3 linked regions of the Lonchura striata genome follow. The main gene of each other region encodes a partner of the protein of the gene in region 2 in a complex. Links are inferred from orthologs where the notes say so. Each region holds a gene or a part of one and is shown on either strand. Other genes may lie near its edges. The genes, in order: DR1, YEATS2 and MBIP.

Region 1 (10,031 bases), on a different chromosome or scaffold from region 2:
ATTATCTGCTGACAAAAACCTCTATTCTTAAAGAGATCTGACAGCTATTTCCCCCTCCCCCCCCCCCTTCTGCTATGTCCTATAGGAATACATGTTTTTAGGCTAAAAAAATTAAGGTTCATCATGTACAACCAAAGAAGCTTACACTTGCAGAGGATTCAGGGCTTTCAGATACACTTTGCTAGAGACAGGCATTATTCTCCAAAAGACCTCTTTATCCCATTTTTTCTATATCAGAATTGACAAAATTTAGACAGCTAAGAAGTCCTTCCTAACTGAATTTCTATCTGAATTTTCTCTCAGAGATTCTACCTTTGCAGGTTTTGCAAGTCTTCAGTAGAAGGTAAATTAGAAACCTACAACAGAGCAGAAGTGATGCATGTAAAGTGATCATAGATCCTTCAAAAAGGCAGAACTAAATAATATTATGTTGGGTTGCTGAATTTTAACTTTTGTCTTTTAGGATCTAAATTCCTATATATAAAATGCATAGTTCACACATATAAAGCCATATAAAGTTATGTATAAGCACTTTATTGTTTTATTTCTCAACTGAACCCCTTCTATTTATGTCCACATTAAAATGTATTCAGAAGCTAAAATCTTGCACTTTTATCTGCCCGAAGACATTGGCAAAGCAGCTACATCCTGCAACAACACTTTTTTTAAAGAATGCAAAGGTAGCAGAAAGGATTATAAAAACCCAGGTAGCACATGTGACAAAAGGCAGTTTCCTCATGCACCATTTACTATGACATGCCTCTACACACACCCAAAGTGAACCTATTACAGAATAAACTGGAAACATTACATAAACACCAATTATACTAGAAACAAGTATCAGTTTAATAAAAAACATGGTTAATTTCCAGCATTTACACAATTCAGAGTTTACAACACAAGAGTTGTTTTAACCTTTATCTTAATTTCAAACTTTTGTGACAAGCTATTGAAGAAACGGCACTAAACTGCACAACAGCAATCAACAACTTGTTATAAACAAGATCTTACAGTAACTCAGATAATATTCTAACACTAGTTTTGTAAGCAACATTTTCCTAGCCATAACTACAGCAGCACATCATGGTACCATAATCTAAACAATATCCCAAAGGCATTCTCTAAGTTTTCAGCTTCCAACTTGTACTAAGAGACAACTCACACAGTCTTCAGCAGTGCTGTGGGTGCTGCCCTCTAGTCTTACAGCACTACCTTCTCTTTAATAGAGAACACCTGGCAAAGAAATTCACATAATACTTATTTCTTTTAAAGAAATGAAGTTAAAAGACAAACTGATTTAGAGACAACCAAATTACTTCAGAGACAGTATGCCAGTTCAGACTCAGCCCACACACAGACACTGAAAATACTTCTTCCAATTAGCCCACAGTTTCTGAGAGAATTACCAAAAACTTCAAAAGCTTGTTTCATCCAGCCTCAGCAGAGAGGAGGCAAATCCATGTCTCATAGACCAGAACTGGTTACGTTAATACTGTACAGATATTTAAGAACTCATTCAATTTTAAAATGTAATATATATATTTTTTAAATGACAATATATCAATTTTAAAATGACAATATATACAGAAAACTTCTTTAAGTCATACTTTTTAAATCAAACTGAAGAAATCTACAAGTCTAACATCACTAAGACAAATCATCACAGCAAAATCAGAGGTGTTTGTCAAAAGAAAAGGGTTGGCAATCTGAACGATCAGACTACCGAGTCTGAAGTTAATCTCAAGATGTGTTTTTGCAGAAATTTTATATGGTTCTTAAAAGAAAATAAATTAATGGAAAGAACTTACAATTGTGAATTGAATATAGCACCGACACACACAACAATAAAATTAAAATCCCTCACGTGATACAACCAAGACAGATTTTTACAGTTATTCAATATAACAAAGCTATGAATAACCATAAATGATTTATGCATCATAAATCTACTCCATCAAAATTCTGCTGCCTGTGAAACAACTTACAAAGTTGACCATCTTCTTGAAGCACATCAAGGCTTACAGAACACATATGAATGGAAGGACTATGAATCCCTTTATACAAGCATGGTGAGAAAATGTGGGACAAGTGACTACTACTCTATCAGAGCTGCTCTCTCATCAAAACTCAAAGCCTTTCTATTTTTTGAGTCTTAAACATACCATCCTACCCAGATGACTTAAAATTTAGTATTTTCCTGAGGCTAGAATTATCCCACCAAATGTAAACAGCTGAATTCCAAAATACAGCATTTGGGATAGCACCATTCATATTTACAAACACCAAATCACAATTATCCTTTTCCCAGTTTCCTCCTACTCTTAATGACTGCATGAAGGTGGAGGTCTCTGAGTAATCAGTGACACATAGCTAGTAATACTTTTATTTTATAAAATCAATCCATTAATATCTGAGACTTTTAATTTTTTATGCTCCTTTCAAAGGAAATAAGACCTCCCAAAGTAAAATCCCAAACATGAACAGTTGTGGGACTCTTAAAATTACGTGCTAATATACACATTGTCAGTATCCTAACAGTCCATGAAAAGAAGAGACAAGATTTGACATCAATCCACAGCCTACCTTACTGCACAACAATTCCATGTAGACCCCAGTCAGCCAGCAAACTCACCTGAGAGGAAACCCTGCTCTGCCCTAAATTCTCAAAGGCCACAGGGTCAGCTGTATCTGCAATTGCCAGATACAATCTGAACTCTCCCGCTCTCAGAAAGTACAAAAAGACTCCTCTTGGCAGCACCCTGTGCTTAGGCTGGGCCAGGTGTGATGTGATGGCCATTAGCCTCATTTGACTTCTAAGCATTCAGAACAAAAAAGATACATGGGCGACCACAACAGATTTCAACTGCCTCATTTGTTAGCATCGTTATCATGACGCTGCTGCATTAAGAGGCATTCAAAACAGCAAGTATCTAGAATGTATGAAGATTGATGAAAATGCTGAAATGCTCTACTTATACACACAATCACTGTTTCCAAAAGTGGCAATCAAAACCCTCAAACCTCACAGAAGGATCATCTGCCAGCTGACCAGCATTGGAAATGAGCTAATAGCAATTACTTCCTTAAACATAAGCACAGCAGAAAATCCATTCATCTCTAAAACATTACAAAAATGGATACACTGCAATATTTTGCTACAAAGTATAGATTTAATTTGAAAATAACTTTTTCTAACTCTGAGATGTGATAACATAAGGACACAGAACCCAGCAAAATACTTGGCATGGGACCATCTGCTGATGTTATGCACACCCACTTTAGTTTCAATTTCTGTTCCAAAAAACCTGCACAAAGCCTAGGACAGCAATAGGTGAACTCTTTTCTACAGACTACCACTACTGGGTACAAAATACTTTCATACATAAACCCTTTACTGCCCTCGGTCTTAAGGATTACACGTTGTCCTGTGTTAAGAACTAACCTCAAACATTTTGTGTGGCGACTTGAAAAAACTATCCATGTATTAAAGAGCATCACACCTAAAGTATGCTTCCATGTGCAAGCACAGGTTTTACTTTACATCCTAGGCTTCTGTGATGGAGCTACTTTGCTAAACTTGCAAGCTTACATGCATTTAATTTAATATTAAAGCTCGTACATGCTACTTATTTTCTTTTGCAGTTCATGACCCAGTCAAGTACTTAAACCTCTTCTGTAATTTTTTTTTCCTTCAAACAGCAAATATTGCTTAAAAAAATCAGATCACGACAAGATTTTTTTAAACGAACTCGATACCATCATAGCCCTGAAAACAGCTGTAGTACAAATGCTGCTGTTAATACCTCTACTAAGCAGCCGAGTGAAGAACTCTTTCACTACTGCTGCTATAAATTTGTTTGCAGCAAACAACGACATCAACAACCCCGGCTTAAGAAGCAAAGCAAGTGACTTCTGACAAAAAACGATGCCTAATGCAGACTTCGGGATGAGGCAAGAAAACCTATTTGCGACAGAATTTAAAGAAAAACCAACAAGACAGAGAGAGAACTCGCCTTTTATTCAAGCAAGTAGAAGTGCAAGTAAACAGCACAGAAAATACAAGGGCATAGGTCACGTTTAAATGCTTTCTGAAACAGATACGAAGATCCAACATTAAACAATGAGACTCTATGGACAGTCCTAAAGAAATATACTCTTTAGAGATTCCAGACAAGAATACCATGGAATAAAGTCTGGGCCCCACATAATCAATCTCCAACTAAAAAAAAAAAAAAATTTACTAAATTCATATTATTGAAACACGCTGCACATCCATTCGAAAAAGCAGACCTCATTTCCCAGGTACGAGGAAGAGATCTGACGACTTCACTCACAGCACCACAGGCTTCTCTGAGGCACAACACCGGAGCTGGTCCTGAGCACAGCCAGCAGCCGCTCTAACCACACAAAGACATGCTCTCTTGCAGCGCGACTGGCAAGCCAGACAGCACACGCTTCTCCTCCACACCCTTACCAGAGCCTGCCTTTTGTGTTCTGCGTAGCTACAAGCAACCAGAGGGGAAAACGCGGCAGCGGGACAGGAGCGGCTCCCAGGTGCCCGGGCCGGCAGCGGCACAGCACCCGCGGAAGCTCACCTTGTATGACGTGTTCCGGGGAGATCGTTTTCTTCTCCGATTTGTTGCAGATCTCATTGGCCTCGGAGGAGATGAGGTGGATGAACTCAGTGCAGCAGTTGACCACCAGCTCCCGGGCGTCGTTCGCCACGCGGACGTTGGGCAGCGTCTCTTTGATCATCTTGTTGATGGCAGCCCGGGGGATGGTGAGGTCGTCGTCGTTGCCGGACGACGAGGCCATCCTGGCTGCGCTCGGCTCACGGGCTGCGCTCGGCGCCCGCGCGAGCCTCCAGGGCGCGGGGACCCGGCGGGGGCGGGCGGGGCCGCGGGGGCGGCGTCGCCGAGGGGCGGGGGACGGCGGGGCCGGGCCGGGGGTCGCTGCCGGGCCGGAGGGTCGCGGCGCCGGGAAGCGCTGCTCGGGCTCAGGGCTCCCTCGGCCGCGGCGCCTGCCACTGCCGCCTCCGCCACATCCTTCGGCCGCCGGCGCCGCTGCCTTAAGAGCTGTGTGAGGGGAGGCGAGCGGCGGAAGCCCCGCGCGGCTCCGCTGGCCCCGGCTGGCCCGGCCGTGCGGCGGCCGCGAGGCGGAAACGCTCCGAGCCCGGCTCAGCCTGCGAGGGACGGCGCTTCCGCCGGAAGCCGGAGCGGCTTCCGCCGCCGGGAGCGCCGGAAAGGCCGCGCTGCCACGTGCGGGCGGCGGCGAGGGGTCCTTCAGCCGCCGCCCTCCGCCTGGAGCTGCGCTCCGGCCACACCCGGCCACACCCGGCTTTCCCCTCGGTGCCGGCAGCAGCAGGGGATCTGACAGCCCCGCCAGGCTCGTCCCTCCGCAGTTGATTCACGACTTGCAGGCAGGGCTGGCTTTACTCGGCAGCTATCTATCTATTACACTGTGTTTTCTGCTTGCACTCACTTCATAGCCAGTAGTGTGAGGGTTGCACGAGACGGAATTAGCCAGACCACGGTAGTGTTTGTGAAAGGCTCACTAAACCCACGGCCCTGGTCTTGTCTTGCTGTGTGCTGCAAAGGAAAAAACTGCCCCGGAATGCAGCCCAGCCCGAGCTGCAGGACAGAGACAAGCACAGCTGAGCGACACTGGGGCTGCTGGCAGGCCTAGCCCTTCTGTGGGTGTCTCTGTCCAGTACCCTGTGCTGACCCTCAGCAGGTGGCAAGGAGATCTCAGCTGCAGAGGGGCAATTTGCCAGGCTCCCTTCAGCCCCAGCAGCACTCTGCTGTCATTTAATTCCTGCTCTCTCCTTTCGGGCTTGCTTCTGTTCACCTCTCATCCACACGCTGATGCTGGGCTGCTTGGGGCCCCCAGCTGTGCACAGCAGCTGCTGCGGCTGCTCCTGTCCCCTCAGTCCCCTGCATGCCCCTGCATCCTAGGCCCCACCAAAAGGGTCACAACTGCAGAGCAAGCCCTGCATTAGCCGCAGTCTTTGGGAGCCGCAGAAACTTTGAGCTCCTTTGGGGAGAGGCAGGGCGGGGCCGCTGCAAGTCGCAGCACGGAATTAGGTTTTGGCTCTCTGAGACGGTATTGAAGGAAAGCTGGGCTCTGTGGGTGGAATGTGCTGGGAAGCTGCAGCCTGGAGGCCCGAGGGTCACTCGGCCTCTGCTGCGGTCAGGGAACAGCAACGACAGGCTCAGCAATAGCACTGCAGCCAGGCTCCCCTCAAACCTTGGCCTCAAACCACCTGGAGCACTAGGCTGAGAAAAAGCAAGGGAAAAGATCCGCTCTACATGACAGAATTTTGGTTTAACACGTACTTATTAGGATAGCTTGGAACAAGAGGGTTCTGTATCAGACACCGAAGGTACTGAAGGAATTCAGTGGATTGAGATTACTTATTACTGACAATTCTTTGTTTTCAAAAAGTAGTACCCAGACAGTAAGAAGATATTTTATTTTAAGATGCTTTAAAAAAACATTTTATTGCTTGCTAAGTGCAATATGCTAGTAACCACTGCATATAAAGGAAGCATTTAGAATATTATAATAAAAATATATTAATAATAAATATTCTACTAGTCACATTTTAAGATTGATGAGACTTTCTTTTATGTTGCTGATAAATAGATCCGACTTCTGGAAATGAGAATGGCAGTGTAATTGACCAATTACAATACTGATTCTATCCTAATAAGTAAAAACATATTTTTATGATATTAAGAATCTAAATCATCTGCATACTGTACACTTCTCAGTGTGTATTATATTCAAGTAAGTGAAGGAGGTCAGGTTAATATTGAATACACAAATATCAGTCAGTGTTCGTGTTCCTAAGAAAACATCTCTGGAAAAAGCAAAACACTAAACAGAATAAAACTACAGTTAGAGGATTTTAATTGCAAGGGTCTGCAAACAGTAACATTCAAGAGATACACATTGAAATGAATATCTTAGCTAAGCTCAAACAAGTACCTTGCATGCATTTTCTTAATTACAGACCAAAGGCATTTGAATAACAACATACTGTGTCATCAGTAGCTACAAAAAATAATTCCAATTTGCACTATATAATCTCATACTTATTGTGAAGGTTTTCCCAGGTCAAAGCTCTTTCTGCTTCTCCACCGTAGCAATTTGATGAAGTTGAGACTTGCACTGAAGATTTTGTCATGCTGAAAAACCATTTTGTAGAATATGTCAATGGGTAGATCTCCATTTGGATCTGCGTACTTCAGAGTTGTCATTGGAGTATACAAGGTGTTGGTCTGATGGCGAAAAGGTGGATTTTCTGCAAGAATTATCTTTACTGTATGCTGTAGAGAAGGAGAAACAGAATTTTAAAAGAACCTTTACCAAGACAGTAAAGTAAAAACCCAGTTTTCAGTGGAAAAGTAGAAGAATAAAGTGCTAGAATTATGTAAAACCCTGTATAGTTTTACTAAACCATCATTAGAAATTCTTCTTGAAATATTCAAAGGCCATAAGAAGTATTTCTTATTTATTCTTCTGTTTCTCTATACCATGGCAATAGCATCTGACAATTTAGTATCCTGAGTAGTCTTCCAAATGATTGTGGGCTTATATGCCCACAGTAGGTAGATCCTCTCTTTTGCAGTTCACTGCTAAAGGGACAGGACTGTGCCTTTGACACCAAGATCTGGGAATCATCAGTTGACACTAAAGATACTCCTTCTAGCAAACACCTGAAATCATCATCCCCTCCCACAGGTGGCCTAAACTTGTCTTCCTGCAGGAAGCTTCAAACATCAGAAACATCCAAGTTTCTTTTATTGTGCCTTGGTGGCCTGGGGTGGCTGTGTGAACTTCCCTTAGTGGAGGGATTATGAGTGAGGTGGAAAGGACAGAGCTTTACCAGTACTGGGAACCCTGGGTGGATGTATGGTAACAATGCAGAATATTCAGACTTCACCAGAGGATGTAAAGGGCATCCAATATCTGAGTAGTATTTAAATTACAATTCATAGTTATCTTCAATAATTCAAAATGAACATTCTTTTAGTATTTTGTAGACTTTTGTTTAAAGACTCTGAAAATTCTTTTGAATTTTTAAAAAAACTTTTTAATTGTGTACATTTAATTAATCTGAATGCTTCTACCAGAAAAACCCACCAGCCAACCACTGTATTCATAAATTACAAAGGGAAGAAAACAACAACAACAAAAGATGAATTTTTTATGAGTTACCTCTGCAACATCTTCAGCACTTTGTCCCAGGCTCTGAAAAATTTGTTTGTAATTTTTAAGGTAAATGTTAGTAAACATCTCAGCTGTTTCTTTATCTGCAGCTGAAAGATCCATTTTCATTCCATCTTCAAACACTTTTCTTTCAAACTCTGTAACCACTGGGCCTGGTTCAATCAAACTTAACCTGTTCAAAAAAAAAAAAAGAGGTTAACTGGTTGTTTTCTGTCCTCCAAGGAAAATACACCCTCAATTGTTCTCCAAAAAGAACATTGAAAAGTTGCACTAGCAAACAGTATGTAACAGTACTTTCTGCAAAGGCAATCCATACTGCATTACTGCTGCCCTGCTCCTTCTACCCATCCACATATAGTGATAGAAATCTGCATAGTTCAATTTTCAGAGAAGTGCTGTAACTTAATTCATGACATAAGTGAGTGCAGTTGTTACCTGCTGTCTCACAGCCGTGGAATCCAAGGGTGATTTATTCACAAGGACTTACCAGATAGTAAGAAAATTAATTAATGGATGGTAACAAAAGTCATTACTTTCTGGACCAAATCCTGCATAGGTTTCTTTGTTTCTAATTATAATACTAGAAGTAGCTGAAAGAGATAGGGGAATTGCCAGAACATGGATTTTCTTTTTCAAGCTGTTAGTGTTACATGATTTAAGATCCCGCCACTATATAATAATAAAATGCAATACAGAGATTTTTATAGTGGGTGGACAGATTCTGGCTGCTGCCAAATCTCAAAGTTTTTATTTTGCCCAGTAGCATATTATAGCAAATCACTGAAATACAGCTACTGGTCAGATTTTTCCTGGTTCTTTTCTCAGGCAGTAATAACACCCAGCCACTGTGTTTATCAAAACATTCTTTGGGATTGGGCCTCTTACTGGACTTGAGTTCTTCAGGGGATGTTCTAAAGGCTCTTCTTCAGAACTAAATCAAGCTATTGACCTTCACAGCAGAATTCCAACTATTGCTGGAATTAAAGCCCTTTCTCTTGCATCACTCTTCCCATTAGACCTTGAATTTGTCTTATTATACTTCCTTTTATAACCTCTTTTTTACTGTGTCTTATACTCCTGCAATCTCATTATGAATTGTGGTATATCCTGTGTATTATTACATTTAGGTCCCTCCTAACTTTGCAGAGCAATATGCATAATCACACTTCGCTCTGAAATTCCACAACAGCAGCTGTCTTTTTCCTCGAGGCCCAAATGCTTAGATACACAGAAATGCAATGGACACTTACCAGTTATTGGAGTTTGCACCAAGAATAGTAGCAGAATTGCATGAGTATTACATGTGAATTACATGTGACAAATCAAACCCGAAGTCCCACAGATGAACAGGATGGGTCTCCTAAATACTGTGTAAAATGTTAGGAATAGTACACCACACTTCTCACTTTCCTCCCACCCCCCTTCATTACAGGTATCTCACCCTGTAACATTCTGATGGATTTGCACTTGCTCAGTCTCTCTGATAAGCCCTTGAACTTTTTAACCTGTGAATTGCCTAAGGCCATTATCCTTTCCAAGGGGAAAGATCACAGGTCAAAGTTATAATTTTACTCCTGTGATACTGTAGGTAAGAATCTGTTTTCAGAAGCATTGCATGAACTGTATTTTATCCAAAGCTAACTAACCTTTAACTGTTCAAGAGAACATGTTTATTTGAACATCTAGATCTTTTTATTTGCTTACATAATGTGAAGGGTGTGGGCATTTCTATGTCTTTTGTGATGTACAGTTTTCAAGGGCTTCTCAGTCTGTTTAGCAGCAAGCTTTAAAGATTT
Region 2 (10,031 bases):
ATCTCCCAGAAGTTCTGAATTAAACTACAAAGACTCCTATTCTACCAGAAGCAGAAACAAGACAATCTTTCACTGCCTGGTCAAACATACACGAGCCACAATTAAAAACAGACAACAAAGAAAATTGAAATCAGCAACAATTTCAAAACAAAGGAAAAACTGATTTAATCTGTGTGCAAATCAGGACTTTGAGGAAAAAAAATGCAATAAAGATACAGCCATAAACTCATAAAAACTAGTGGAAAACTAAATAAAGCAAGGAGGCACCAGTAAGTTTTGTGAACACCTCAAAACAATTACAGAATATATTTTTTCTGTAAAGTGTGAAAATCAACAGGGAAAAAAGCAAACACCCCACAGCACAGCTCCTGCAGACACATGATGACAATGGACAAAGGCACTTACAAAGATTAGAACTTAGGTCACATTCTTCAGCTGCCTACACAAAAATTAAAAGGGGCAGAGAGATCTCCAAGCCTCCCAAGGCCACCACAACCTTTTCAAACTCCAGTTGCTCAACTCAACTTCAGAGAGGGAAAAACAAGCTGAACCTTTTTGTTTTTACCTCACTCCAAGTCCTTTGAAGAGCACAACAGGAAAACCAGAAGCAGCATTGAGAGCAAGTGCTTGGAAGAGAAATTCTTATGGGACTAGAGCGAAACCCATGTTTGCAGCAGCCATTGACAGCTTCCAAAAATCACTGGAAATCAAATCAACTTGAACTGAAAAGATGGTAACAAAATGCCTACACTGGTAATGAACTACATGTCATTTGGGACTCTGTACAGTCATGAACACCCTGCAATTAGCAGTCATTAAGGGCAGAGTGCTCAGAACTGGGGTTTAACTAACAGGGTTTGAGGCTTTTTAATCTTGTGAATTTTTAATCACTCTGTGATATCTCCCTGATTTATCTCCTGCTTTACTGCTGCCATCAGTCTGTTCACCAACCATTAACAGACTGACTGCCAGGATAAAGGGAAGATCGTTTCACAGCACTGCCCGAGTCTCAAACAATCTTGAAATCTTTATTATTTTTCTTTTTTCCTGAAAAGTCCCCAAATGCATGTGCTGCCACTGTCTTCCTGTGAAACAGGAAAACATATTCCACACTTTTCACGGCTTTGCAAGGACAAACTGTGCAGTGTCTGAGAAACAAGACAGTGCTCTCAGGGAAAAACTGAGGAGGAAAAAAAATGCAGAATATTTCAGAAACCAGAACCAGGGGCTGCTGAACAACTTTGCAACTCTTCTTGAAGACTCCTCCTTGCCAGGACCCAGCAGATGATGCAAAGGTCTCCTCTCCCACTGCCACCCCACTTGCAGTTTGTATTCCACTATTTCATTCAATCACATCTTAACACCAAACATCAGCTAACAGCCACTGAAACTCTACACCTTCCTTTGCAAAGACTCCCTGAAGTCTTGTTACTCCCAGAGTAGTTTTTACCTCGCCAGCTTTGAGGAGGCCAGCAGAGGCATAATAGTTAGCCACAATGCAGGCACGCAGCTTGTCCATCATCCTCCTGGCTTCAATCAGGCGCTGCAGAAAGGAAACAAAGAGTAATGGTCAGCACTGCAGCAATCCCCCATGCCCCAAACACCAAGACCTTAGGTATTTATAAGAACAAAACCTTTATACCTGATCTATAACTTCAATTTCATGTTCTTTACTCTTCATTTCGACGGCAAACTGTTCCTTTATAATGGTCTCAATCTTCTGCACAGTAACATCTCGAGCTGTACAAGGCCACACATGGAAAATAAAGGAGGAAGTATTTACATTTCTATTTTTGAGGCTCCATTTGAAAACAGAAAGATCAGAAATCACTACAGAGTGAGAACTGAAGGGATAGTAAGTTCAACACACAGACACACATAAAGGGAAGGATCATTTTCTTAAAAAAAAAAAAGTTATGTCTTAACAAAAACCACATGTATCTTTAAAAGCCAGCTTATGTGGAGAGCTATTTTTCCCTTTTTAGGTCTGAGATGGCAAGTAACAGAAAATGGGAAGAACAGGGCCAGTTTGTTTACTTCTGCCCCAGTAAAGCTGTAAACAGTAAAAGGAAAACTCCACAGTGCTGGCCCAGCGCAGGCACCGCTGCGACTGCGCCGGAGCGAGCTGGAACACCACGGATGTTCTTCTGCTCTCCTTGGCCAGAGCCACATCCAGGAGATTTACACCACCTCACACAGCAAGAATCAAGTAAACTCATATTTATACAGCCCTGGCACGAAGTGCAGCCTGCTCTGGAGTGCCTACAAGCTGTTTATTACTCACAAAGGAAACTACATTATCTAAAGCTGGTCTACCTCTTACAAAATCCTCTTCCAGCACAGCAGACAAAAAAATTTAGCCTTTCAGCAGGAGTTTAGTGACCTTGGTGGAAAGTATGTAGTTTAGGATTTCAAACTGTGCAAATACCTTTCCGCAAGTTAGTGGCTAAGAATGGAATTGGCATATTACCATGTTTTTCTAGGATATGTATAAACATAACTATTCTTTTTGCTCTACACCTACTGTAGACTTTAATATCACCCTTCATTTAGGGCACCTCCATTACACCAAGGGGTTTCAAACAACTGTTTTCAGCAAATTCTAAGTCAGAACCTGGCAAAGCAGGAATTACACTTCTAGAAGAAAGCCTGGAAAAGGTGCTCCAGCCTGTGTCAGTAATGGAGTGACCCCACAATAAAGCAGATCAGCAAAAGTCTGGTTTTCCCTGGAAAAATCTTACATTGTTTCTACATGAAATAGGAGGCAACAGCACAAAGACTTTGGCTTGAGCTTCAGAGGAAGCATATGTCCTCCTAAAAAGTACAGATCTGTTTGAAGAGGTTTCTAATATCACCAGAGAGAAGGGAAATGAAAGCAAGTCAAAGCTTTGCTGGTATCTTCCAGATAGCACAGATCATTTTACTGTCTGATCAGGTACTTACAACAGGAGTGAGGCAACTGATGCCTCTATATGCAACAGGGGTATACTAAATAATTTTCTTCCTTTCCACATACATATATACACACAGGCATATATATATATATGTATATATATATGTATGTATATATATTTATATGTTGATATATATAGGGGCATATATATATATGTTTGTGTGTATGTGTATAGTTCAAGCCTACATTAAAACACAATTATGGTCGAATCTGCATTTGAGTAAGGCAAATTAAAAACCAGAGGGATATAATTTACCTCCAGCCATGAACCCACGATGAAGAAATTCTCATGTAAGGCTATATGCTTAAAATAAACAAAACAGATCAAGGCATGAGAGGTATAGTTCAGAGAGGGACAACTGCATCTCCTTCCAAGGCTAAAGCCATGCCACAGCAGCATCATGATGATTCAAACACTTCAGGATTTGTGGTTATATTACAGAGGCTTTTAAGAACACTTTATATTAATTTTTTCTCAGCTTAGTGTCAACCACAGTGCCTCATTAAGACCATGATAGTGAAATTTGTGTAGTTAAGGAATTCTAGTATTGAAAGCTGGAGATCTTTCATGAAAAGAAGCCAATTTGGAGGAATCTCCTGAAAGCAAAGTTCACTTTGGCAAGGCCAGTTTTCCAAGGCCCTGAGACTCTGCCTGCTCATCATCAAGACCTCCTGGAAGTTTGTTTCAGAAGCAGATTAAAAACCTGCCTGCAGCCCCTGGGACACGCCAGAACTAAGGGTGGTGGCTTCTGGCAGCCAGGCAGGGCGGGCAGCTGGGAATGGTGACATGGGCAGCTCCAGCACAGCTGCACCAGGCCCCACGTGGCAGAAGGACTTGTCCAGCAACACACTCAACCCTGAGTTCAGCCTCCTCAGACCTGTCCAGCTGTACAGCATCCTCCAAAACATCACCCACTGAGCCATCCTCTGTCACTCTCCAACTGGCAGCTCTATTCCTGGATCTTTTTCAGAGCCCACAGCCAGCCTCGGTTTTCTCACCTCCCTGTTTGTCAGCTCTTCCCATCGCAATCCTCTCTCACTAGCTGTGCTATGCCAAAAATCACTAGCCTACTCCCTGCCCCCGGGGCAAGCAGCTCTACTCTCATTTGCCCAGAGAGACTGCAACCTGTCCCAGGCACTGTGCCAACAGGCTGGTTCCCAAAGCAAGCATACCCAAGCGTGCCAAATGCAAACCTACTCATCCAGCTACTTGCTCCACTACACTTCTTTATCCACCTTTCCTTCAGTCATGCTCCTGTTCCTCCTCTCTTGCATGTTTCAAAGTCCCTTCCTTCTCCCTAAATTATCCTTTCTACACTTCATCAAAGAAGCTTCCTTCTGCTTCATCTGCCAGCTCGTGCAAACATTTGTCATCTTCCAACAGCCAGTGCGTGCACTGCAGGGTTGTGCATCTCTTTTACCCTGCAGGGTCATGGATTTTTTTTCTCCTCCCCACGCTGTATTGTGACCTCTATCCCCCAAAATGTAAACAACCTGCCAATCTTTCCCAGAGCACACTTCAGCCACAGAACAAATACACAGGCTGGATAACTACTCAGCACAGGAAGGTGGACTGTAACCACTTTAGGAAGCAACAGGAATCAAAGCGCTGAACTAAAGTGCTGGACAGCTTGTGCTCCATCTCCTATCATGCACCAAAGGCTGCCTCCTCACACCTTACTTCTGGTTCAGATAGCAGGAAGGGAGGACTCCACATAAGATACATCTTCATTTGGCTACATAGAGGTACCACCACTGGCCTTGCTCAACGTCTGTCCTTTGCTCCTAATGCCTACCCCAGCCTTTTCCTGACTGGTTTACAGACAATTTGGAATTTCCAATTCCACAGCTCCTACCTGACTGTTCGGCTGCTTTGTGCCGCTTGCTGGGATGTGTGACGGTGATCTCCTCATAGTCGGGGTCCTTCTCTGCGAGCACTCTCTTGATCCCAGACATGTTCTCTGCTCCACTAGCAGGAAAAATAAAAGCATTAACCTTTCCCACAGTGACCGTCAGGGCAGGCTTCAACCTCTCACCATGTGGAGGCCTGTGGTGCACCCCTCAAAAGAGAAGGGGCACCTCTCTAGTGGGGGCAGTGATCAGGGCGCAGGTTCCCAGCCGAGAGCTGGTTCTGTTCCGCACAGCCCAGGAGCCCCAAACGCCTCCTGCCGCCTGCGGCTCACCGGAGCCGGGGTGCCCACAGCCCCAGCGGAGCTGCAGCGGCCCCGTGAGCCCAGGAGAGCGGGGCTCCCCCCGCACGGCACCGCCACCGTTCAAAGGGCAATGCTGGGCACACCGGTGCGTGCGGCCGGCGGCGGGCCCAGCTGCCCCGGCACCGGCCCGGGGCTCCCCGCTGCGGGGTCACACAGCGGCTGTGCCTCGCCCAGAGCGGCTCGGCCCGAGCCACGACCCTGCCGTGAGGGGGCGGCGAGCACCGCCGAGGTGGGAGCGCAGCGGGGCTCGACCCGCAGGCGTGAGGCGGCGCGGAGGCCGCCGCGGTGCCGGTGCCGGTGCCGCGGTGCCCCGGGCGCGGAGGGCGGAGCGCTGCCCGCGGCCGGTCCCACGTGCGGGCGCCGCTCCCCTCCCCCGCCGCGCACACAAAGCCGCCGCCGCGGCCGCGCTCTCTCTCCGCGCTCCGCCCGCCCCGCCGCTCACCGCGCTCCGCCGCCCGGCCCGGCCCCGCCGCCTGCACCGGCCGGCCCCGCCCGCCGCGCCGCCCGGGGCGCTCAGCGCCGACCCCCGCCGCGCCGTCCCGCCGCCGCCGCCATGAGCGCAGGGCCGAGCGCCGCCCGTCACGGCCGGGGCGGGCCCGCGCAGGCGGGCAGCGCGCGGGGCGGGGCGGGGCGGCCGCGGGCAGGTGCCGCCTCACGGCCGGGCCGCGCTCCGGGAGCGCCCCGCGGCGGGGTGCGGGCACAGAGCGGGCACAGAGCGGGGAAACCGGGATGGGCGACGCGGTCGGGCTCGTGTACGGACAGGCGAACGCAGTGATTTGATCCTGACCTGGATTAACGTGGTTTAACGTGTTCAAAGGTCTGAGGAGGACTTTTTAGCGTGGAAGATATTTCACGGAAGAACGATCGAGGTGCTGAAGCGTGTTCAGAGTGGCAGCGGAGCCGGGGAAGGGGCTGAGCACAAGTGCTGCGAGGAGCAGCTGGGGGAGCTGGGGGTGTCCAGCCTGAGCAAAGGAGGCTCAGGGGGCTCACGGCTCTGCACAGCTCCTGACCAGGAGGCTGCAGCCAGCTGGGGCCGGCCCTGCTCTCAGGGAACAGCACAGCGTGAGAGGACATCGCCTTAAGCTGTGCTGGAGGCTCAGGTTGGACATTGGAGGAAATCCTTCACAGAAAGGGTGATGAGGCATTGCTACGGGCTGACCGGGGAGCCGGTGGAGTCACCTTCCCTGGAGATATTTAAGGAAAGACTGAATGTGGCACTTAGTGCTGCGGTCTAGTTGTCAAAGTGATGTTCAGTCATAGGCTGCACTCGATCTCTGAGATCTTTTCAGCCTAATTGATTCTGTGATCCTATGATTAGCAAAAGAAAAGACCCAAGAAGGGAGTCCTGGAGTGATCGCGCTGCAGAGAGCACGAGCTCACAGCATGAGGCAGGATGGGAGCCCTGGTCTACCTTTAGATAGGCTTCAAAAAACCCTTATACTTAATACTCATCATACTTCATATTCTCAAGTCAGAGCTAAACCAGTGCAATGGGTGCGGCTAATGCCATGGTTTGTGTTTGGCTCTGGCCAGGCTGCAATACCTCTGTCACATACAGATAATGGTATCAATGCTATGGTCCGTGGCAGCCTCATGCTTCATTCAGTTAGCCCTGAACCAGCACAAATTAACATCCTGTTCACTCTTGGATTGGCAAACTGATTTATGAGGCTACTGATTAGCAGGTCTATGCTGAATGTTCAAAGCTTAGCCTTTAAGGTCTTCTCATTTCAGGATCACTACTATCCTTTCTGACACTACCAACCTTTCTTTCTGCCAGATGTGAAGTATGGCAGATCAATGGAGACTGTTCTTAAACACAATCAGTATCCTATTCACCAGGAATGACTGTAGTGTATTTTATTTTCTTCCTTTTTTCTGCTTAATGGAAAGAGGAAGAAGCTGTTCTTAGAATACTGCCACCAGTTGACTGTATTTAAGATTTAAAATATCTTAAGGTGGGTTTTTCAGCTCTCAAAAGTATTTCCATTGCTTTGCAGTCTGTGGGGATTCTCTTTCATTTTTTTCCCAATTACTTCCTTCTGCAGTAAGCTGAGCTTCTGCAAGCACTGAACTTGCCTGGAAGTTGCTTTCCTGCAGCAAGAGCCAGTCTGTGGCTGTACCCAAGCCTGGCCACACTGCAGAGCTGCAGCAGTCCCTGCTGGCCTGCCACGTTTTCAGCAGGGCTCTGCCCCCTGCAGCCTTGCCCCCTGCTCTGCCATGTGTGTGTGGCATCTTGAGACGGCCAAGCCTCCAGTTTCAGAATAAACCTACAGGATTCTGCCCAAACCAAGTTTTGCTAGTGACCTTCCCAATGTTTTGTTACCTTTTCCCAATTTCCTATGCTGGTTTTGCCTTCTGAGTCCATTCGCATTTTCTTCTCATCACAATACCCAGGACTAACCCAGTATTTCATATCCCACTCCCTGCTTTTCACTTTTTCCAGTTTTGCTTCAAGTTTGCTCTTCTGTGCAGCCTCCAGCTTGCCTTTATTCCCCGTGGTAGGGCAGAAAGATCAGCAGAGAAAACTCCTAGACTGGGAGGCAGGAGAAGAGATCAAAGGAGAGAGAGTGCACAAGGGGCAGAATCCAACAAGTTACATGGCCCAAAAAAGCAGGAGGGAGTTTCCTCCTTGTACCACACCAAGCCCCACCCTGGAACTTCTCATAAACTAAATAAACCACAGTGAACTATTCAAAAGGCAAATGTTTATTAGATACACTGAACTTTAAAAAACTTCCAAAGAATTATGCAAGAAGTATATTTAAATATAGCAGGTGTTAACTGCAATTATGCTACATTACAAAATCACTTTTCTACTGTCAGCACAATCTGAAGACCTTAATGTTGTGTGTGAGATCCGTTACATTGACTCTGGCACACAGTAAGTGGTCTGAGCTTTCCTGTTCAGATGTCATTTGTGCTGCACCAGGCTGTTCTTGAGGGCAAGATCAGCTCTCCGTGAACTACAGCTTTTATGTTTCAGTAAATAAAGGAACTGGCAAGGAATAACAAGAACTGTTTTCCTCAGCAAAAAAAGGAAAATGAAAATATGATTTCAGGCGAAAATATGAGTAACTGTTCAGGAGGTAAACTCTCTTTCCATGGCCAAGTAGTTCCTATTAATCTGACTCCAAAGTGCTACAGGTGCACCAAAAGGAGAATGACTCATAGGTCCAGCATTTACACAGATGAAATTAGTAACAGTACATTACATTCAAGTCTCTTGATTTGCTTATTGCCGTGCTGCACCATATTATTGCTTCATATTTTGTGTCTTGAACAAGAGGTTGATGACTTTGGAGAGTTCAGAAATATCACAGAGGCTACTGACTAATACAAGAAACTGTACATGTTAAGGACAGGAAGTCAAAGACTAAACTCAGTCCTTTGTCACTGAGGCGTTGCTGGAAACAAAAATTAGAAAAAAACAAATACTGCTTTCCCTAGATTAGATCTGCAATAGTACTGTAATAATGGAAGCATTCTAGGCATGTTCTAAACAAGTTTAACTGTGCTAATTAATGAACAGCAAGATTTATTTCTCCTAGAAGGACATTAACAGTCTGGACAGTAAGACCAATCATAACAAAGGCAAAAAACTGGGAGGAGTAATCCAAACTCTTCTTCAAAATAGATAAAAATAGTGGTGAATTCAAGGCACAGGTATTTTCAAATTTAACACACATTATTTTCTTTGGAGCTAATCATACAAACTAAGCCCTGATTACAGTATTAACAAGTTGTACACAGGGCCTTAATGTGCATCACTTGTAACAGCACTATCAGAGAATGATCACAAAATAATTCACATACAGATGTGCACACATAAACATATTAGCATTGGCTGGATCTCTACAGTAGAAAAAAAGAAATATTCCTGCAAATAGCTTACAGTTCTTAGACAGTAACGTTATAATGAACTTGTGTGTGACACAAAGGCAGGGAGCAGAGAACACTCACAGCTGCTTTGGGCTTGGTGGGAGGCTGCTGGTTACAAAATCGTGATCCATTTTAATTAATGCCACCTGAAATAATTTCATACTGAGGAAATTTGTGTGCAAAACATATTTTACAAAACCCAAAGCACTGCTTGGCCCCCAACCAGAAAGCAGGTTTCTGCTTAGAAATTTCATCTTTCCCTGTAGGTTCCTTTTCTGAGTATATGGTGCTTAGATTTTTTTAACCATGCACAACAAATAATTTAATTTGTAATTTCTTGTGTACATGAGACTGCATTCAGATGAAAGTATTCGCTGTGCCTCACAGTGATCAAGTCTTGTGACATGCTTAATCCTCTTGAATTGGGTTTTGCCATCTTCAGTGGTAAAGAACCCCACAGCTACTTGCCTATTTGGGCAATTCAGAAAAATGAACCCCTGGCTTTCCTGAGCATTGCCACTAGCAGACCATAAGCATATCTGCATCTTTATTGCTCCAGGTGAGTTCAGTGAATTGACAAATATGAAACATTTTACCACCTGAGTTTCAGCATGTGGAATTGCAAACTTATGAGCATCCTGAACACCTTGGTTTCAGCAAGCCCAGCTAAACTGCAACCCCCAAACACCCCGGGTCTCCTCCTGCCATCTCTGAGCCTGCTCCAATGCTTTTCTCCTGTCTCTGCTCTTCAGAGCTGGACTCAGCCCAGGCTCTGCTGGCCAGCACCTGCCCTGTGCCTCGGGCAGGGGCAAACATCAAGTCACAGGCAGGGAGTGGGCCCGCTTCTTGTTCTGCCCCTGCAGCAAGTCAGAGACAAGCAGGATAAACAAAGGTTTACCCAAGATAATGAGGTGAACTCAGCTGTTCTGAGGAAGAAACTGAACAGGCAGTAGCATCCTTGCTCTCAAGCACAGGTGACCAAA
Region 3 (10,031 bases), on a different chromosome or scaffold from region 2:
GTCTCACAAGAAAATGATAGGAAGGAGATTTATAATCAAATCTTTCAAAGTAGCTATAGAAGTCTAGAATTTGCAAACAGAGAGTAATTATAATAATAGTTCACTGGCTTCCTAAGAAGAGCTGTTGAGCTAGGACTTGCAGGGGTCAGTTCTCAATCCCAAATTATATAACTGAGCTGAAGGATTTTGTGCAGAGTGCTAATCATATTTGCAGATGGCAGCAAGAAAGAAGGGAGGCAGGTATATAAAATTTAAATATGTTGTAAAATTACTAAACAGCAACAATGAAAATAAAGACCAAAGTAAGGAAGAGCATGAAGCAGTATTAGAACATAACAAGGATAAAAAAATTCTGAAAGGAAGGGTCATAGGTACATGTGCATGCCAGGATAAGGACACTAAACAGAGTGCAGGCAACAGCATCACAAATGTTAGGAATGATCAAATTACTGCAAGTCATAACTGTAAGATACTTATAGGTTTGTTGGTTTCCCTTTTTTCTCTAACAGCAAATACATCAGGGTTGTATTTCCGCCAAGACATTTTGTACAAATCCCATTCCAATCCTGTGTGAACAGGGCTTTCTAAACTTTGGTAAAGTGAAAGGAACACCAAAAGGTCAGCAGAGACATTTGCTTTGAAGGAATGCAGCTCCTATTGGAGAGCCAGATTTGCAATTCAGAGCCTTATTTGATGAACTTAATAAGCACATGACTACATTTTAGGGATGCAGGCTGAGGTTTTCTCCAGCTAGGCTAGTGCTTAAAATTAGGCACTAGCTTAAGTATCTTGTTGAAACAGTATCCATAAACTTTGTTGGGGTGATGCCTTTTCCTGGGTACTTGGGAAGCAACAGAAGTGAAGTGCTCTTAATTCTGAAATTAATGCTTGGAAAAAAAAAAATAAAAGCTTTTATTTTGGAGGGACTTGGTAATTTCCTATTTTAACCCTATTTATCGATTTAATGAATATGTTACTATCAATTTCGTTTTTATAACTGTGTTAAATTAGCCCAGCACTGATAATCTGAATATTAGGAAAAACTACAATTACAGCAAGGTGTCAAACTGAACTATTTTCCTGGGGCTTTGGACAGAATTCACAGTATTGTTTTTATCTTTGAAGCTCCAAATTATTTCAGGTTTTTTTGGTTGGTTGGGGTTTTTTGTTTTGTTTTGTTTTGTTTTGTTGTTGTTGTTTTGTTTGTTATTTTTTTTTTCTGAAGCATTGCCTCTTTTGCCTTTCTCTGTGCTACAGCTGACATAAGCAGAATTACACAGCATGAGCTTTTCAATTCAGGAGAAAAAATCTGCTTATATGTTACACAGTCTCCTTAGCTCAGCACTTCACTCTTTGGCACAACAAACCTCAGTGACTGGTACATTCTGCCAAGACTCACCTTTCTTTGGGTATTAGAGACAAAATTAAAGAGTTCAGAAATTGTGTACTGTAATATTCAGGAGAAGAAAGAGTTATGACAGTAATGACCAATGGAGAGAACTTGTGTCAATTTACTAAGGTTTACTGTGATTTTAAATAGCTTAAAGGCACCTAGACTTCGAAAGAGGTGAATGTTTATCATTTTACAAACAAAATAAAAAGAAGCAATAGTCCAAAACCAAAAGAAAATAGTTTTCTAGTTCAAAATAATTTTACTCCAACCACAATATTTGATATTTAAGAACTTAGTGGATTTGTGCTTATATTTTTCAAGGTGTTTTCAGTGGGAGAGGCTTTTATATACCTCAATGATCCATTCAGGGATCAAAGCTGCAAAAGATTTAATATTATCATGACAGCTCTATCCCTGAGTGTTGAAAGCAACTCCAGATTACTCCCTCCCTTGTTTGTCATATTATTAAAATATCTGGACATTACTGCCAAGTTAGACATATTTAAATCTTCTGATTCCTCTTTCTAAACAAGTATCTCTATCTCTGGCAATCTACTTCTTGCCAGTTTTCTATAAATTTATTCCAAATTACCAGTATCTTTCCAGCAATGAGAGCTTCCAATATTTTATTGCTTCACCAGCTTTAGTGAACATGCCATGTAATTTCCTCTGTCTTTATGGAGGCCTGGATTTACTGTGGCTAGCTTTACTTCCAGAGGCAATTACAAGTGAATTAATTTTTACTGTGCACTACATCCAGTGAGTATATAATCATCTTCTGGAACCATTCTGTTCTGGTCTGTCTCTTCCATTAGATACGAAGGTTTGACATTTTTGCCTTAGCTGTTTGTTTAATGCATTGCCTAATTTAATCTGTGAAACATTAGATAATACCAAATTTATTCAACTAGCAGCTGCAACTCAGATCAAGGTCTTCTGAGACAGAGCAAGTAGGAAGAAAGTCTTTCCCCATGGGAATCATTACTCTTTCTCTAAGAGGAGACATTTGCAAACAGCAGGAAGGCACCCAAGATCCAGTTTCTGCTTAGTAAATAAAAGGTGGGCATCAACAGCTCTACTGACTACTTTTGCCTACTCTCCTTGTAACGAGCACAGAATAATGGTGCTCATTACAAGGAGACTCCCACTGTCTTTGAAATCCTCCACATTCATTAAATCTCCCTTATATTTCCATGTATCTTTCTGATATTTATATGCTTACCTATTTATTTTTCATTTGAAATGTTTTTTACCCCAAAACAACCTCTGGCTACAGGTAAAGATAACATGCTCAAAAGGAAAGGAAAGATCTTAGATCTCTCAGTTAGGAAGGCTGCACGTACCCATTGATAAAGTAGGATACATCTGCTCCATCACTCTAGGAAAGCTGGAATCTATCAGGTAGCTGAGCACTCATCAATTGAAGTAAAGAATTGGTTCAAATGCCTGGACCTGTTCTGTCTTATCAGGTCATTGGGAATTCATTCAGGATAAACTGCCTTCTCTGACACCGATGCCAGGTTGTTACATCTGTGATCCATAATTCTGCTCTGGCCAGCAGATCACTTATGTATTAATTCAGTGTTTTAGCACTGGAGGGGAAGGGGAAAGGGCAGTGTATTTTCCTTTATTCTTGAATTCTTCATTATTTGATCCAAATGACATTATTACATAGTGCAGGGTTGCTCCAGCTACGTGTCCAGAGACAAAAACTGCAAGAGTCAAGGTTAGCTGAAGCAGCCCTTGATCGTAAGCTGGAATTACTACTGTTGCACAGAAGTGCAAAACAGAATTCCACAAACGTTCTTAACTTACTACCATATTCTGTGCACGTGTTCAAAATACTATCTGACAAAAACTGTATTTTCAGGAATTAAATACATTTCTATGTTTCAGAGCTTCTAAATCACAAATACATTCTGCCGTATTTCTGAATCCAAACATTGGTCCTCATCAACGCAAGCAAATGCCATCTAGTTCAGCCTAGATAAGATATTCTTGCAAAATGCAGACATCAATGCATATGTTTGTAATCATTAAACACTGAAGTCCTCTTCAGAACTAATTTTTCTCTGGAACTTGAGCAGAGCTTTCTCTGCTTGAGTCCCATCAAATGTTGTGGGTTGCTGGTGCTGAAAGCCTTGTTTAGTAGCATTTATTTTCACTACATTAAGGTATGTCTTAGCTGAAAAAGAACCCTCAAAACATCAGTCAAATAAATTCATCTTCCTTTCTAATATTTTTATTTAACAATGTTTTAACATTTGTATATACTACTGCACTCACTATTTGTCAATTGAATAAAAAATATAGTCAGGGAACAGAAAGAAGTCACAGATCAAAAATAGGTATCAAAACAAACATCGGGTAGGAAACCTTTGAATGCATTTCTACTTATATTTCTTAGGAATTTCTACTAAATTTCTTAGGGAAGAAATTTAAAAGTAAAATGTCTTACAGGGAATAGAATTTTCCGACCCCCAAAATCAAGAGTACTCTCACAAAACTCGTAGTCTGATTTAAAAACAACCTTGCTGCAGCCAGAGGAGTCAAGGCTTTGAACAAAACGCATGAACGCACAAAAGTGAGGGGCAGCCAGCCAGGCCCAGCAGAAACAGGGGCAGCAGCGCGATGAAAGGCAGCCCCGCGGGCCGCTCCCCCGAAGGAGCCCGCGCTGCGCCTCCCGGCAGCGCGCCCCCACAGCGGCCCGAGCGCCGCCATTGGCTGCCGCGCCTGTCCATCAGCGCGCGGGGCGGGGCCAGCGCCAGGCCTTCGTCATCGCGGGGCGACGGCGCGGCCCGGCCCTGCGTCATGGCGGCGGCGGTGGCGGTGCCCGGCCCGCTCCCGCCCGGCGCCCGCGCTCCGGAGGCGGACCCTGCGGCCTCCGAGGTAGCGAGCAGCGCCCTGCGCTGTCTGGCCGGGCTGGCGGGGCAGGTGAGTGCGGGGCGGGCGGAGGGAGAGGTCCTGGGCGGAGCTGGGCTGGGCGCCGCGCCCGCCTCACAACACTTGGCTTTGGGGCGCGAGCAGGGCTGGCTCCTGCTTCCCCCCGGCCTGCGGGGCAGATAAGGCAGCTGCCTCTTCCGGGAGTGCCCGCCTGGTTTCTGCCGGGGCTGGGCGGCGGTGCCGGCTGCCTCCCCCGCTCCCTGCGGCCGGGGCAGCCCCCGGTGCGTGGCTGCTGCTCCCGCTGCGTCTCTCCCGCAGCCGGGACCGTGCCTTGGCCTCGCAGTGACGGGACCTCGCGCGCCGCTTTGTAGTTTGACGGATGATAGCTTCCGTGGGAAAGTGCAATTTGCTTAATTGCTGTATCTTATTAATTAATTGCTTAGAGTTGAAAAGCTGCTGAAAGCTTGCAGTACATTAAATCAAAATAAATTTTCAGGAGCTTAAAGTTAGCCCTGCCTTGGTAATGGCATGCTATGAAACACGCAGTGCCTCTAAGGGTCAGAAGTTTTAAAGGTGCTCTGCTCTTTGGCACTTAAATTGAAACACCTACTTTATGTTTAGTAATGTCTGTGAGTTGTGAAACAAATGTTACAGTAGTAGTGGAAGGCCCGCCCTTGTCAGGAGAAGGTTTTAGTAATAACATTTTTATTGGTATAAACAATTTATACATTAATTTTCCACTGTGGAAACATTTATGTAGTTCTGTGAAGACAGAAGTACACTCTTACTTCAAGAGTTAGCAGTTTGAAAGTTTGGGGCCAGATGATGAACAATATATGCAGGAGCTAGTGTAACTTAATGTATGTTTGGTAAAGAATTGGTCTCTTAGATGCAGAGGCAGTTTAGGAGTAGCTGCTGGCTGATCTGAAATGATATTTTAGAGTGTTTCACTTCTCATCTGTATAGAATTTTATTATACTTGCTTTTCTCCTCCAACTATGCTAGCAGTTGTCTCTATTTTCAAACAAAAGGCAAGAAAAATTAAGGGCTTGGTAATTCAGAGACTTAGTTAAGAGTCTCAGTTTTCCTCTCTCTAAAATGGTTAAAAACTGCTATGGCTTTTGAACAGGAGTACAGCACTAAACACTGTGATGTCCAGACACAGCTGACGCATAGGATTACCAAGGCATGAAAACTGTTGAGGTTTAAAGGCCCCATAATCCTTCCTGGTGAAAATTCTGAATGTGATCAATGAAGAGCTAGTGACTGTCAGTTTATCTAAGTGGGAGGACAACACTATGAATGACAGTAATAGAACACATCAGAGAAAAGCTGGAACTCTTGTATTTATGAAAAATACAAAGGAGAATAAGGGGAAAGTTTCCTAAGATTTTAACTGGGGTATTCATCAAAAGTTTATGAATTGTTTATAAACTACATTAAAAACTCTTATTCTACCTCTTGACTTCAGCAGCTTACTTTTTCTGCAAAGCTGCCTCTACAACTAGCATGTCATTGGAAAGGCCCTGGTGATTTTTAAAAATAACTGTGTGTGCACAGACCATTGTGAGAGAACTGCTTAGAGTTGCTACATCCCCTCAGTAGTTACAGTAGCTATGGTGCAGAGTATAATTGTCTTCTTTGGTGTTTGGAGTGTCTTCTTTCCTTGACAACAGACACGTTTCACTGTGTCACATTCAACAGTGCACTGGTTGGATAAGGATCTGGTTGCTCCATCTTAGCTGTGAAAGTCCTTTTGATTTCCAGTTGCTGACACTTGTCTGCCAGTGCTTGAGTACTGACAGATTTAACTGCTTAGGGATTCTAGCAAACTGCCTTGCATTTCTGACTGAAACTACTGATTCCCCATTTCCCTTTTATAGAGATGACTAAGCATGTGCCAAATTGTTAGCAGTCACAGTTTGATTCACTACAGTAGTTTAAGTTGGTTTTATGCTAGTAAATTGGGCAGTAAGCAGGAATATTTCTGGCACAGGATTTTTTTAATGGAGCAATCAATGGCAGTATGTGACCAGGACATCTGAGAATAACAGCTCTTAAAACCAATATAGCTGATCCTGAAAAGTTCTTTAAGATTCAAATGATAGCCAGTGTTTATGTAAAACAAATTTCAAAGAGCTGAAATTACATATAATCCTGTAAATTGAATAGGCTGTGGACTTGTAATTAGTCAAAGGCTTTGAAGTTATCAAAACATTGAATTTAAAAATCTGTTTGTCACAGTTCTAATAAGTAGTAGGATGTGAAAGACTGAGAACTTACTCTGTGGTACTAGAAACTTCTGTTGATGCAGGAGGGCTTTATATTTTTATTTAAAAGCAGTGTCTGAATTAAAAATATGACTGTCCTCTAAATGATTCTAAGTTCTGTTGCTTTTTGTGCCTTGAACCACCTGGACAGGAGGTGTCCATTGTGATATTGTGAAGGCACATATCAGATTATTATTTTTTAAAAAGGAGACTTATTAGGAAATTGCAGTAGCACTTCTATTTTGTTTCATTTGGATGACTTTAATCTGCCCCTTTTTTACCCTATCAGTAGACTATAATATAGCATACAGGAGATATTACTCTAGAAACTTCAGGCAGAAATACATGCTTCAGATGATCACATGCACAATGGCTTAATTCCTAAATTAAATTTTATTCCTGCTATGTTCTAAATACATTCTTGCTTTTGAAACTTCTTCAAGATTAGTATATCCTAGAACATTACTTCTCCTACATCCTGTGTACTTAGCTTAAGTACTAAACAGGGATAACCATTTGTGAAAATTATCTAAAATACATTATATATCTAGTCAGACTGTCTCCTTTGCTATGTAATTTGGGAACTGACCCTGAATTTATCAAGGCTGATCTTTGACTAAAGAAGGAAGGTTCAGGCTTATAATTCTTTACAAAATTGTGTTAATGCTGGGATTTGAAACTAACGTGGGACAGTTTATCATCCACAGCTTTGCCTGTGGAGTGATGAGACATTCTTGTGTCCAGTTCTCAGTATTTCATACACTTTGTGGTGGCTTCAGGACATGAGTGCATATGCATTCTGTGTTCTTGTTTATAAGGTTTGATGCTGTTAGGAGTTAAATGTCTTTAGACCATGAGTTGAAGGTCACTTTTGTCATCTTCTTGAGGTACCTTTTTCTGTTTCCACCCCTACTTTTTATTTTAATGGAAGGAATGAGGAATAGATATACAAGTACAGACATGATTTGGGAATTCAGTGTTGCTAGCAGAGTACCTGTAGTCCTCTTGATTTCAAACAGGAATTTATCTGTGTTTAGAATTTGGGGTATCACTTGCAGGATGTTTGGTTGGAGAACAACCTTCTTAGCTTTGGAGAATGAAAGTGATCATCTCTTTAAGATCTTGGGAAAAGCTTTAGAGTAACAAAAAGGGCAAAGTTGGGCGTGAAAGTGTGTTAGCTCATTAGAGTTTATTGATAATCATATTTGTATTAGGAAGTGTATTTATAGCTTGTAGAAGATACATACTTCTTTTAAACAATACTTCAAATTTATTATGTGTTGTTTTCTTTATTGTCTTGGGAGTTAAATATTGCAATTCCTTTGCAGTGAGAATAGACTGTGGCAATTGTTCATTTCAATATGAATGAATATACAGGAAAATAGTGTGATTTGCAAACAGTTGTAATAGTGATGCTGTTTAAGCTAGAGTTTGTTAAACTTTGAGATATTTTATGCCCTTATTTTTAATATAAAGCTTCTTTTGGATTAGCAGCAAGTAAAAATTCAAGATTGTGCCATGGTGTTACATCAAGACATGCAGGCATAGATAGTCTTGCAATCTTGGAATAAAATACATGAACTTACAGGACACTGCTATCCTGGGTCGTGTTCTTCATACTGGTGGTTCTAGTATTCATTAAAAGAAAAGATCGTGTGAGTGATTAACATGAACAACATGCTTTCATACAAGAATTAATTAAATAAAGCCAAGGATTGAATTAATACAATGAAAGTGTGATGACTAAGTAAGGAATTTTTAATTTTATAGTATATTCTACAAATACTAGCTTATTTGGAAAATGGCAGCTGCTTGGACTATAATTAATATCAAATATTTCCGATGCTCTCATCTAAAATTGGAATGGGTCTATATGAGACTGAGCATAATTGTTGTCTTGTAGGAGCCTTGTATACTTTTTTGATGTTACTACATATAATTTTTTATTGTTTTGCCCTATTGAAGCTTAATCTCGGAGAGGATATTGTGAAAGTTGTAATCGATTGGACCAAGCTTCAGAGCACATCAGCACTTCAGCCAGCTTTGCTCTTTAGTGCACTTCAGCAGCATATTTTATGTTTACAGGTAAATATTTCATGGGACACATTTGACTTGACAAAATGATCAACAGCTAAAAGTAATCTTTACTGTAAAATTCCAGTAATTTTGTTCTTACATTGCTGTGTTCGATAAAAAAGGATTACAAAAGTACAAAATGCTTGGGATTCCACTATGCTCCATAGGTACTCACATTTACAGATTTTTCAGATTAGTGGTGGGAATAGCCACTGTAGGTGAACAGGCTGAATAACTGCAGCCTCATTGATTTCTAGACTTGCATTGTAAATGTGATACATTTCCATCTATGGTGGGTTATAATTAAGCAATAAGACACGGCAGGTGTGTGTCATGCTATGATAATGATTCCATGCGTTGGGTGAGTTTTGAGGCTCATAGAGTGCTTTCAGTGGTTCAAGAAGTGGCATTATCCCAGCATGACACATCCTGGAGTGTCTTACTGCAATTAAATATATTTTCAACGTAGTTTTTTTTTTTTTAAAGAGTAATTTCTTTGACATTAATGTCTCATCTTGCCAAGTAGCCAGTCACCATTACTGTCATTTCTTTTAACTATTTGAAACTTTCCAACCCTGCCAAAAGTAATTTAGTTGCATGGCAGGGAGGGTTAGCAGTTTGTCAGCTGGTAACTGAGCAGTGTTTTGACCTTGATAGTTCATGTGTAAAAGATGGGATTTGCTGTAGCTAGCCAATGAATGATTTGAGGTGCCTAGTACTGAGAGGATCAAAAGGGAAGTTTCTGTGTTTTCTTGTCTGTAGGTAAAAAAAAAAGACCCTTTATTTTCCAGACATCCACCAGATCTTTGGTGTGATGAATAGAAAGAGAAAATATGCAAGATAAAAGCAAGTAAAATTTATATTCAACATGTAAGAGTGCTGTAAATGGGAATTTGATTCCATTTCATAAAATGTGACTGCTAAAAATCATGTTGTCTTTAAAAAACTTAAAATAATTTATTGAGAGAAAATAACCAGTGAAATTCAGACTACATGAAACTGATGGAAGTAAAAAAGAAACAGGGACATACTTATGTACTGAAGTTTTGATGTTACATTGTACATATGAGTTACTGCAGTAAAATAAGCATTTTTCCTGCCACAAATGTCAGTGCCTTTTCTCATTTAATTTCATGACCTAAGTAGATAATCAACTGTGTCAAACAAAGCATGTGTTCATGATAATGCCTATGTATTTCATGTCTGTGTTCTCTCATTCACTTGGGCAACTACGGTTTCAAGTGGAGAATGTAGTGCTGATGTGATAAAGGCTTTACAGTGTAAGAGCACCGGATTTCATGTTAAGGAGGAAAAATACTAAGCCTTACTGTTCTGAGTAAGCATTTGAATTACATGTTAATTAAGTGGCATTGAAGCTTTGATTTAGCTAGTAACACAGAAGTATGGGC

The links.
Region 1: YEATS2 (region 2) and DR1 share a complex: the UniProt entries of both Homo sapiens proteins name them as parts of the ADA2A-containing complex. The link is inferred for Lonchura striata from reciprocal best matches to the Homo sapiens genes YEATS2 and DR1.
Region 3: YEATS2 (region 2) and MBIP share a complex: the UniProt entries of both Homo sapiens proteins name them as parts of the ADA2A-containing complex. The link is inferred for Lonchura striata from reciprocal best matches to the Homo sapiens genes YEATS2 and MBIP.

The regions. Positions count from the first base shown.
Region 1 is NC_134611.1:20,784,594-20,794,624, reverse strand, and holds the start of DR1 (protein Dr1), read right to left. Parts: upstream 4,898-10,031; 5' UTR 4,816-4,897; coding exon 4,596-4,815; intron 1-4,595. Other genes in the region: retinol dehydrogenase 8, read right to left, coding at 7,098-7,331, 8,224-8,407. UniProt on the Homo sapiens protein: The association of the DR1/DRAP1 heterodimer with TBP results in a functional repression of both activated and basal transcription of class II genes.
Region 2 is NC_134612.1:2,974,594-2,984,624, forward strand, and holds the start of YEATS2 (YEATS domain-containing protein 2), read right to left. Parts: upstream 5,649-10,031; 5' UTR 5,609-5,648; intron 5,262-5,608; exon of another isoform or gene 4,923-5,261; 5' UTR 4,910-4,922; coding exon 4,810-4,909; intron 1,741-4,809; coding exon 1,643-1,740; intron 1,544-1,642; coding exon 1,451-1,543; intron 1-1,450. UniProt on the Homo sapiens protein: Chromatin reader component of the ATAC complex, a complex with histone acetyltransferase activity on histones H3 and H4. YEATS2 specifically recognizes and binds histone H3 crotonylated at 'Lys-27' (H3K27cr).
Region 3 is NC_134608.1:24,890,432-24,900,462, forward strand, and holds the start of MBIP (MAP3K12-binding inhibitory protein 1), read left to right. Parts: upstream 1-4,195; 5' UTR 4,196-4,204; coding exon 4,205-4,327; intron 4,328-8,511; coding exon 8,512-8,631; intron 8,632-10,031. UniProt on the Homo sapiens protein: Inhibits the MAP3K12 activity to induce the activation of the JNK/SAPK pathway. Component of the ATAC complex, a complex with histone acetyltransferase activity on histones H3 and H4.